Linked DNA regions of Alligator mississippiensis. The protein of the gene in region 3 purifies or fractionates together with the protein of the main gene of each other region. This does not show direct contact. Links are inferred from orthologs where the notes say so. Each region holds a gene or a part of one and is shown on either strand. Other genes may lie near its edges. The genes, in order: SKI, SMAD7 and RNF111.

The links.
Region 1: the proteins of RNF111 (region 3) and SKI purify together in Homo sapiens (affinity purification with western blotting, with the first as the bait; 3 studies listed by BioGRID). This does not show direct contact. The link is inferred for Alligator mississippiensis from reciprocal best matches to the Homo sapiens genes RNF111 and SKI.
Region 2: the proteins of RNF111 (region 3) and SMAD7 purify together in Homo sapiens (affinity purification with western blotting; 3 studies listed by BioGRID). This does not show direct contact. The link is inferred for Alligator mississippiensis from reciprocal best matches to the Homo sapiens genes RNF111 and SMAD7.

What each region holds. Positions count from the first base shown.
Region 1 is NC_081836.1:13,631,934-13,635,677, reverse strand, and holds the start of SKI (ski oncogene), read right to left. Parts: upstream 2,179-3,744; 5' UTR 1,541-2,178; coding exon 629-1,540; intron 1-628. UniProt on the Homo sapiens protein: May play a role in terminal differentiation of skeletal muscle cells but not in the determination of cells to the myogenic lineage. Functions as a repressor of TGF-beta signaling.
Region 2 is NC_081826.1:289,549,874-289,553,617, reverse strand, and holds the start of SMAD7 (mothers against decapentaplegic homolog 7), read right to left. Parts: upstream 2,444-3,744; 5' UTR 2,213-2,443; coding exon 1,726-2,212; intron 455-1,725; coding exon 401-454; intron 1-400. UniProt on the Homo sapiens protein: Antagonist of signaling by TGF-beta (transforming growth factor) type 1 receptor superfamily members; has been shown to inhibit TGF-beta (Transforming growth factor) and activin signaling by associating with their receptors thus preventing SMAD2 access.
Region 3 is NC_081834.1:38,758,927-38,762,670, forward strand, and holds the start of RNF111 (E3 ubiquitin-protein ligase Arkadia), read right to left. Parts: upstream 2,574-3,744; 5' UTR 2,521-2,573; coding exon 2,489-2,520; intron 1-2,488. UniProt on the Homo sapiens protein: E3 ubiquitin-protein ligase. Required for mesoderm patterning during embryonic development. Acts as an enhancer of the transcriptional responses of the SMAD2/SMAD3 effectors, which are activated downstream of BMP.

The DNA.
Region 1 (3,744 bases), on a different chromosome or scaffold from region 3:
ATTCACATACCACGCACTACTAGTATACTCATTTATCATCAGGGTTTTTCTATGCAACCTTATAAGCAGCTACTTTTAGTCCAAATATATGCAGAGATAATTTAGCCCCTGTTCCCAGAGCTATTCAGTTAAGAGGGTTTTATGTATTTGTCCACAAGTCTGTTCCTCTTACTTTATGTCCATCTTCCTTGCCCTGACCTCCCCCCACTTTCAGCCTCTGATGCCAATGTCCTTACACCACTTCCATTCCCTGTTAAAGTCAGGAGGAGGGGGTAAGAGTTTGCAAGGACCACAGGATCGGCCCCTAAATCATAGACAAAAATTAATCTGTTTTTAAATTAAACCTAAAGCCTCTAACAAGAAAACCGATTTCAGCTTGCAGCTAAAAAAAAAAAAAAAGTGCTCTCTTTAAATGCTTCTCCCCCACCTGAACACACAGCGTGATTTTCCAGCATGACAGACTGCTGCATGGCTTTAACAGCAGCTCTGGTGCCCTGGACCTTTCTATCTCAGTGCAAGTCTGAAATCGCAGTCTGGCTCCTCCTGGCCCCCCTCATCTCGGTCTTCAAATAAAAAACTGGGGAGAAAAACCCCCAAACAACCCCCCCCCACAGACACACTTACTTACCCTGGGTGCTTTTCTCTTGTATTTGTTGTTGTAGTCAAATTTCTCTTTCATTTCATCCAAGAGCTGGCCCAGTCTAACTTTCTCCTCTTTCCCAGTGTAATCCTGGCTGAGGAGGATATAGGACCTCCAGTTGGCCGAGTCAAAGCCCCAGTGGCAAGTCCTGTTCTCCAGGGACTTGTGAGAGTGGACCACAAATTTGTGCGGTGGGTACATGAGCCTGCAGTCCAAGCACTGGATGCAGGCTGCGCTGGGGTTGCTGTAAAGCTCCGGCACCAGGAGTCCCTTGCACTTCCCGAAGCACTCGTGGTACACCTTGAAGCTCTTGTCCGTGTACTCCAGCTCGATGGTGCTGGAGAACTCCTTCTTGCAGTGCGGCGGGTAGGTGCCCCCGTAGAGCAGGGCATTGCACAGCCGCTCCGCGTCGGTTTTGGTGATGAGCCCGCAGGAGGGGGCAGAGAAGGGCAGGATGCCCATGACTTTGAGGATCTCCAGCTGGTCAGCCGTGCACCTGGAGCAGTAAATGTGCAGCTCGTCACACACCGAGTTGATCTGCTGCAGGGAAAAGTCCCTGAGCACCGAGTTCAGGATCTGGGGCAAGCAAAGCCGCTTCTCTCCCCCCACCACGAAGCAGGAGATGGTCTCCCCTTCCAGGATGGTCTCGCACCTCTCCGTGGACCTGTCCGAGGGCATGAAGAAGGGGCCTGGCATCACCGGGGGAGGCTGGATGGGGGGCAGATGCAGGACGGGCTCCGCCGGGTCCTTGCCATTGTCCTTCTTGTACATCTCCTGGGCCCATCGTGCGGAGAAAGCAGCAGGGCCACCCAGGGAGCTCATAGAGCTCAGATGAAACTGTTCCAAGGTTTTCTGCAGTCCTGGATGAGGCTGGAAGCTGCTTCTACTTACAGTCTCCATTTTTAGTTTCTATTCCCAAAACAAAACAAAACAACACAACAACAAAAAAGCCCCGCTGATCTTCCACCCTGGTAGCAATCCACTGAACGGATTAAAGGGGAAAAAAACCCAAAACAACCCAACCCCCGCTTCTTTCTCTCCTTCCCCGCCCTGCTCCGGCAATCCACTCGCGAGGGGGAAGTCCTCGTGTGCTGCTGCTCTTTTCTCGGCTCGTGCCCGCTCACAGCCCCCACGGCTCCCGGGCTGCCCCGGCGCGGCGGAGAGTGCGGCCGGCAGAGGTCTTCATGCAGCCTCGCCGCCCCGCGCCCGCCTCAGATCCGCCCCGGCGGCGGCTGCTCTGCAGCGCGCTCCCTCCTGTCCATGTCCGCCGCCAGCGAGGGGGGGCAGCGGGAGGAAGCGAGCTCGGTCCGTAGACGGGGAGGGGGGGAGGGAGGGAGGAGGGAAAGCGTGCGGATAAAATGAAAAGGCCGAATTTCTTGCCCTTCGGAAACGCAGCGGGGCCGCGGGCGGGCTCCCCGGGCTGGGCGTGGAGGCGCTCCGGGTCTCTCGCGTCTGTGGTGCGCGCGGGGAGCTGCAGCAGCAGAGCACGTCCTCCCGCTCCGCTCCCCGCCACGGACTGGAGCGCCTCGGCGCTGAGCTAATGCGCCGGGCTCAGCCGCCTCCGCCGCCGCCTCCTCCCCGCCCCCGCCCGCGCCCGCGCCCGCGCCCGCTGCGTGTCGGTGTCTGCCTCGCTCATTGCAGCGCGGCCAAGAATGGGACCGGCTCCCGGCCGCGACCGCCGCCCCCGCCCCGCCACCAGGGACAGGGGGCTTCCCCGGGCCTGCCCGCCGCACCCGCACCCGCACCCGCACCCCTCCTCGGAGCACAAACACGGGCCCGCCGGCTCCGCACCGCCCGGGCACGGCACGGGGCACCGCACACCGCGCACACACGCGCGTTGTGCGAGCTGGGGGCTATACCACACACACACACAATACACATAGCACAAGCACACACGTTGTGCGAGCTGGGGGCTATACCACCCCCCCCCCGCCAATACACATAGCGCAAACACACACACACGTGTGATTTGGGTGCTATACCACACACACACAATACACATAGGGCAAACACACACGTGTGATTTGGGTGCTATACCACACACACAACACACACATAGCGCAAACACACGCGCGCGTTGTGCGAGCTGGGGGCTATACCACACACACACACACACACACAAGCACACACGTTGTGCGAGCTGGGAGCTATACCACCCCCCCCCGCCAATACACATAGCGCAAACACACACACACGTGTGATTTGGGTGCTATACCACACACACAACACACACATAGCGCAAACACACACGCGCGTTGTGCGAGCTGGGGGCTATACCACACACACACACACACACACACACAAGCACACACGTTGTGCGAGCTGGGAGCTATACCACCCCCCCCCCGCCAATACACATAGCGCAAACACACACACACGTGTGATTTGGGTGCTATACCACACACACAACACACACATAGCGCAAACACACGAGCGCGTTGTGCGAGCTGGGGGCTATACCCCCCACACACACACACACACACACACAAGCACACACGTTGTGCGAGCTAGGAGCTATACCACCCCCCCGCCAATACACATAGCGCAAACACACACACACGTGTGATTTGGGTGCTATACCTCACACACACACACACAAAATACACACAGCGCAAACACACACGTGTGATTTGGGTGCTACACCACACACACACACGTGTGATTTAGGTGCTATACCTCACACACACACACACAAAATACACACAGCGCAAACACACACGTGTGATTTGGGTGCTACACCCCACACACACACACACACGTGTGATTTAGGTGCTATACCTCACACACACACACACAAAATACACATAGCGCAAACACACACGTGTGATTTAGGTGCTATACCACACACCAACACCCAATACACATAGCGCAAACACACACACATGTGATTTGGGTGCAATACCACACCCCCCAATACACACAGTGCAAACACACACACACACGTGGTGTGCGAGCTGGGTGCTATACCACACGCGCGCGCGCACACCCCCCGGATATACGCAGTGCAAACACACACACAGAGGTGGTGTGCGAGTTGTGTGCTATAACTACAGACACCCCCCCCCCCCGGCTCTGCATAGCGCAAACACGCGCACACACACACA
Region 2 (3,744 bases), on a different chromosome or scaffold from region 3:
GCCTTGCATTTTTTCCCTGTGCCACATAACATTATCAGCTACACTGGGAAGACTGCCTGAGAAGGTGTTCACTAGGCAAAGTGGGCAAATTGACATTACTTTCTCTTCAGATCCATCCCAAAATGTTCCAAGTCCCTTGTTGGGAAAAGCCAGCAGTTGCAATCACCATCCCTACCAGATCCCCTGCTAAATCTGACAGCCGCAGGAGGTTTTTTCAGAGTCAAAACATGTATTTCTTCTTATGGGGCAGGGGGGTTAAAAAGCACAGAACACCCCAGAGAAATGGTCAAAAAGTGAAATGCATCAGACGTGTAACAAAGGCAAGAAACATTTCCCCGGAGAAAGAGTTGTTTTCCCTTTTTATCTGAAGACAGTAGCCTCTGTTTAAAGGTCTACTTACCAGTTGGTTTGAGAAAATCCATTGGATATCTGGAGTAGGGCGGAGGGGGAGACTCTGGAATTAGAAAAGTACAGAGAAAATAAAGGCAGAGCCATGAGAAAAAAAAGATAGGAACTTATGATAACAGTGGCATTCTTTTAGCAAAACTGTTTGTCTTAGCTCTGGGGGTTGGAGGCAGGGCAGCTAAGCGGCGATTGCCTTGATATTTAGCTGTCAGATAAACAAAAGGGGCCGCCTGGCGCCAGTCTCCCTGCTATCTGCTACTCTGGCTGTCTGATCAGGGCCTCCTTGGCTCAGCTAAAACACTCCAGCTCTGGAAATCACCAACTGATCCCGACTGCCAGATAATCCTTGCTAGCTGCATACACATTTAACATTTCACAGAAAAGGGAAAAAAAAAAAAAAAAAAAAGAAAGGCTGGGGGGAAGAGGGGGGGAAGTGGAAGGAGGAAAATAATAATCAAGGGCTGCCCTTCAGCAATTCCCCACTAGTCAGAAGGGGCCGATTTCTGTGCTACAGCAGCTAAGCAAAGTTTGCAAGTAATTGCCATGTTTTCCGAAGGAGGAGGGGAGAGGCGGAGGCCGGCCGGGTCGGGCCGGGGGCGCCACGCCGCCCGGAACAGCACCACCACGAGCACTGCCGGGGGAGCCCTGCCTTCATGCCACTGGCCAGGCAAATGCACCGACACTTTTTTTGCTGGGGCTTATTTGGAGACACAAAGCTGTGCCTGGAGGAGGCGGCAGCATGGCTGCAGCTCTCAAACGTTTTCTTGCTGGCGGGGGCTGGGACCCACTGGCCCCCAGCGCCTGCACATCCCAGCCCGGCTGGGCATGTCTGTATGCACGGAGGAGCAAGGGGGCCTGTCCCCCGGTGCTTAGGCGGGCTGCTCTGCCGCTCAGGCCAGGCCGGGCCAAGCCCCCAAGTTCAAGTCTCCCGAATCCTTCCCCTCCCGCAGCCCCGGGGCGGGCACCATCCTGCTCTGCCCGCTCAGCGCCGCTACCAAACCCCCAGGCTCAGCACCTCTTTCCACCCCCAAATTTTCCGCACATGCAACCACGCACCCCCCAGCCCTGCCACCCCCATGCACACTCACAAGTGTCCAACCAGTCCATATGGACCGTGTGTGTGTGTGTGCAGTCCATAGACACGTGTGTGTAGTCTAGACCACATGCGTGTGCAGCCCATATAGGACATGTGTACAGCCTGTGTGTGTAGTCCATAGACCACACACGTGTGTGCATGCAATCCATACAAACCACATGTGTGTGCGTGCGCGTACGTGTGTCTCGTGTGCGCGCACACGCGTGTCCCCCCCTTGTCCGTACCTAGTTCGCAGAGCCTGCTAAGGTGATGGGGATTGCAGCAGACCAGCTCTGGATGAGTTTTTCCATAAGATTCACAGCAACATAACCTCTTGACTTCCGAGCAATGCCTGAGATCGGGCCACCTGAATATTTTACATAGCAGCAAAGGGAGGGAGTACCAATGCTGACCCAGTCTGGAGTCCACCTTGCCGGGCAGCAGGAGGCAGGAGGTCCGGGTGCCCCCTCGGGACTCCACGGCTTGCAAAAGCCCCTCCAGCTGTTTCTCCTTCAGCCTCTTGAGCACGGCGTGGGTCAGCGCCTTCAGCTCCGCCTCGGAGCCCAGCGCCGCCTTGCCGAGCTTGCCCGCCTTGCCCATGCAGCAGCCCCGGCCGCCGCCGGCCCCATGCGCCCGGCTGTCCGCGGCGGCGTCGCCCGCCTCGTCCTCCCCGCCGGGAGCGCGGCTCCTCCAGAGTCGCCGGACGAGCACCGAGCGTTTGGTCCTGAACATGCGGGACGAGGAGCGGGGTGCCCGGCTACAAAACGAGCATGTCGTCCGCAAGTCATGAAGGATCCGGGCTCCGCGTCCAGGCAGCGAGCGCCGGCAGCCCGCGAGCCCCAGCGCGGTGCCACATGCGCCAGTCTCGCTCGGCGGCGCGGCGCGGTGCGGCGCTAGCCGGCGGGACGGGGCGCGGGGCTCCCGCGGGGCTCCGCGCCCGGCATCGAGCCGCGCCCGCCCGCCGACACCGGCCCCCGATCAAATCAGCAGCCGCCCCCCAAAACACGCAGCGCCCCCGCCGCCCCCCGAGCAGAGCAGATCTTCCTCGCAGAAAACAAGACGAAGGGAAAAAAAATGAAAAACAGAAAAAGGAAACTCGCGGTATCCTCCGGAGTCAAACATCCACCGATTCCAGCCCAGGGGAAGTTTTGGGGGGCAGGGAGAAAGGAAAGCTGTACAACGTGGGGGGTGAGGGGGGGGGTTGCTTGTTTCAAGCTCAGTTCAAGTCATCATCAAAATCTGAAATGTGTCAAAAAGGTACAAAATCATCACACACGCCCCCCCCAAAAAAATCAATCACATCCGAGGGTGAGATCCCCCTCGTCTCGTGGCCGCGCCGGCAGCGGGAGCCGCGCGGGCAGTTTTATTTCCAGTCGACTTGTCCCCAAACTCCTCCCGCCGCGCCCGGGCGGGGACGGGGACGGGGACGGGGTCGGGGCGCGGAGGAGGCGGCGGCTGCTGCGAGGTGCCCGGGAGGATCCTCTCGCTACCGACGGTCCCCAGCCCCGAGGGCTCGGCTCCGGCTCCGGCTCCGGCTCAGCCCTGCGCGCTGCCTGCGGCTGCCTCCTCCCCGCATCGGCTCCCGATACGCAGGGAAGAGGCGGGGGGGAAGGAGCAGCTCCTCCGGCTCGGCTCGGCTCGGCTCGGCTTTCCTTCCTGGCTTCTCCCTCTCTCTCCCCTCCGCTGCCTCCTTGCTTCCCGGGGAGCAGAGCCTGTCCCCCGCCAGCAACAGCTCAGCTCGGCTCGGCTCGGCTCGGCTCAGCTCCCCGTGCCCATGCCCCGGTGCCCAGCGGCCGCCCCGCCGCTCCTCCGTGCAGCCGCCGCCGCCGCCTCCCCCGGCTTCGCCTCGGCGCTCTCAGTGCGCAGTGGCGCTGCCCAGCCCCGGCCCCAATCACGTGGGCGTCTAGACACCCTGTCGCTTTAAAAAAAAAAAAAAAAAAAAGTGATTGTGTTGCGCAAACAAGAGATCGGGTTGCTAAAATCTATTTTTTTTTTATTCCTGAAGTCGAGAGAGAGAGAGAGGGAGAGAGAGAGGAGCAGGGCAGGGATCCGAGCGAGCAGGCTCTTCCCCCAGCCCCGCAGAAGAAAGGGAGGCGACATGGTGCAGCCGGGTCGCCCCGAGGCAAAGCTGAGCCCCGGGGAGGGAGCACGAGAGCTCCGCAGTGGGGCTTGGCGGAGCCCACGGGCGAGCTGGGCTGCAGGGGGGTGCTGCACCCAGGGCAGGTGGGGGCCAGGAAACGCCCTGAAGTGGGAGCCCCAGAGCT
Region 3 (3,744 bases):
CAACTTAACACAACACAGCATCATCATATTCACAACCCCCTGCAATGCATATATGTAAATAAGGCATCCCTGAAGTCCCTTGCTTGCTTTAACTCAGCCCCAGTGAAGACAAATGCACCCTCTGGTTAAAACAGTTACTCAAGACTCTTTACACCATTGGCTTTGCACAGAATGTCAAAATAATGCAGATTGCATTTTGTCAATGGTTTGGTAGGCAACACCTTCCTGCCTTGACAGCCTTTAAAGTGTACACTACACTACCACTCTGCAACTGTAAAGTATGCAATTAAACCTTCTTTTCCTAGGTCCTCATGGGAAAGCCATGGCAGGGTGCCCTAGAAGAGTGGGTATACAAACCCTAAACATATTTTTCTAAGTCCCTAGTTACTCAACAAGTTAATATCAGATCTCATTTATCTCAAGTCTATCTATAGAGATGCAGAACAATCCACACTTTCCATTTGGGATTTATGTCCCGTCCCCCCCACATTTGCCCATCACAAGTGCCATTAATGACCACAGTACACAATCTGGGAAGATAATTTTAGTTATCATTCCAGTGGGTATAACCAGTACACTTATCTGTGGGTGAACACAGTGTTCAAACACCTCAAACATCTGCTAGCCCAACCTGAAAAGTTGGCTTGCCAACATTAGACTGATTAACCACAGGCCTGCAGCTGCCCAAGGTTGCTACAGCAAACCACTTCTGGACCAGCAATGCCTCATTTCACGTCCTGACATACTCCACATGTGCCTCTGCAAATGCATGCTTTCTAATGCACAAATTCAGTAGCCACCACTAGTTATCAAAGATCAGCATAATAATACAGTCCAAGAGTGCTGTATGTCCTGTACCAAGAATACCTGTCTATGCATGGGGGAATTTCCAGCTGATGTCAGCAAGCATCAAGTACCACAACTGCATTAGGGCGGAATCCAACCACAAATCTGCCACAACATTAGCACAGCAAGGGCCAACCTTTTTGTCATACATGCCACAAGTTAGCCCCACACCCTCCCCAAGTCTGAAACTAATCCCCTTCCACTGCCTGGTCTGCTTTCTGTCTCCTGTGCAATCTACCACATGCCATATGCACCAGCTGGCCATGCCACTTGTGGCATGTATGCCAGGGTTAGCCACCTCTATTCTAGAGAACAAGAACTGCTACAGAATTTCCACCACTGTTTCAAAGCACCCTCTCTTGGTATCATGCAATAACAATACACAGTGACAAGCAGGAAGAGCTCTTCCTCTGGTGTTGAATCTGTGGCGTGGCTCCAGCTGGAAGGAACATGAAGCAAAGCGTATAGAGCCAGAAACACCTTGGCTAGATGTGCTGGCAGGCAAGGAACATTTCAGTACAGGGCCCCAGGAAGGACAGACATGTTCTCCTATGATACACTATGAATTCATCTCTCTACTGTAGGGAGTAATAAAAAATGTTCAATACTGCCTTAGCAACTGTAACAACCAATGCTTCAATATAGAACAATGTGTACATGGCCACCTGCATACAGAGCATGCTCTGCAGCATGGATGCACGTAAAAATGTACTTGACAAAACAAGAGAGTACATGAACATTGAGACAATCACTCCAGAAATATCCTTAGCGTGCTTAGTTTCAGCCTTGGGTTAAACTCAGCCTGTTACATAAATTGCGATTTGTTCAGCAGTAAAGCTGCAGGCATCATTTTTTGGTAACTAGGAACATTACTCCAAGGCAAACATAGTAAACTTAGGATCAAGGAGTTGTAGCCTTACAAGATAATTTACCTTATTGAAGCTTTAGGTTAACCCCCAATTTAACACTTCAGCAAAATGTTTCTAACGTAGCTGCTGTAGTAACACAACTATCAGATAAAAACAAAAAAAAAAGAGCATATATACTGGTGTTGTGCTGATATTCTTCAGTTTGCAGACAACTCTTTGCTGCTGCATGCATCTTCACGAAAAAGCAGAAACTGTACTCCTCATGATGACATTGAGATGCAATTCTGTCAAGTCATTTCATAGACACACAAACCATACTCACTAGCAGTGATAATTGAAAGGATAACTGAAACCATGATGACTCCAAGCAAGTCAGTCATTCTGCCTCAGACCTCACCCAATGCCACAGTACGAGCGTCTATAAATACCTTCCAGGAGAGTTCAACTGTGACTTGGTTGTGAAGCACTGCGGTTAACACTTCCATAGGCCCTCATATTGAAATGAAATACATAACCTCTATTTGTTGCAAGGAGGTAACCCATGTGATTTTTTTCTTTAAAAGAAGGATTTAATACGAGCCCCCCCCAGTTTGGACAACAGCTCAGTGGAAATCTTTATCACTTTCCGTTACAGCCAGTCACTGACCACCAAGTGCCAGCTTGGGATGAGTGACTTTTGCTTTGGTTCATCCAGGACTTGGTCACAAGAAGTGGGGCAGCTCTTTAAACCAAAGACGCTCCAGCTTAAGGTGAAGGTTAAGGAAGCAGCTCACCTTTTAGTGGTGGCTGAAGGCTTCTTTCCCATAAAGACCCTCGTAGCAGCAAACAGGAAAGCACAGGGAGCGGCGCAGCAGCGGAGCCGGCTGGCGACTCCCCCTCTCTGGCACCACAATTTCCTCCCCTCCTTCCACAGCTGTCAAGGACCCTGTCGGGCAGGGCCCGGGGAGACGCCTGCTCTCGCGTTAAGGCAGGACCAGACCCCGATTTCAACAGGTGCAGCCCCAGGGCCCCCCCCGCGGCCCGGCTGAAGGACACTGCGGCGGGGCCGAGGCGCACGAAGGGCCCCGCGGGCGGCAGGCGCTGCCTCGGCGGGGACCCGTGGGGCCGAGCAGCCCCTCGCCTCGCCGAGGCCGGGGAGGAAAGGGCTCCCGGCCCCGCTGCGTCACCGCGCCCCGGACAGCGGCCGAGCCCGGCCCGGCGCGGAGCCGCCCCCACCTACCTCACACATCGGCGCCGGCTCGGGCGGCGGGTATCGGGTCGGCCCGCCAGGCCCCGCGCCCTGCCCCGCGGCCCTCCCGGCCGCGCCGAGAGCAACCCGCGGCAGGCGCAGCCCGGGCGCTCGCGGTTTTGTTTGCTGCGCAGCCCCCGCCGCTGCCGCCGCCGCCGCTCCCTCCCTCCCTCCCCAGGGGCAGCGCGACACTTGCCGCTGCTTTACGGCAGCCCGCAAAGCGCAGCCGCGCCGGACAGCGCTCCTCCTTCCGCCAGCGCCCCCGGGCGGCGCCTGCAAGGGCGCGGCCTGCGCGGCAGCGCCCCCTCCCGGGCGGAGGTGGCCATTGCCCGGCCCCGGGTGCTGCAACAGTCGCGGCACAGAGCCGGGCCGAGCGTGAGCCGCGCAGAAGCTTTTGAAATAGTAAATGCTGAATTAATTGAATCTGCTCTTTGGTTCCTGGTCTTTCCTGGAGCACTTGCTTCACCTTGGCCGTCTCCTCTCCCGTGCCCAGGGCTGGAAACTTGTCTGCATAAAACGTAGCTCGGACATCGGAAGACCGGTGACAAAGCCAAGCGCGATAAGGAATCGGGCGTGATGCAGAGACAGGGCGGGGCACAGGGCCTGCTTCCCTCTGCATCAGCCTTTGGGTTACTCTAGTTCAGTGCTGCCAGCGCTCAGGATCGTTGGCCTTGTTCTTAAAGTCTACGCTTCGGGAATGCGAGACTTGGCTCTTTCTTTTATATATTATATATACTGTTATAAATACAATATAATGATATATATATAAAAGAAAGTCACATTCCCAAACGCCAAAAATCC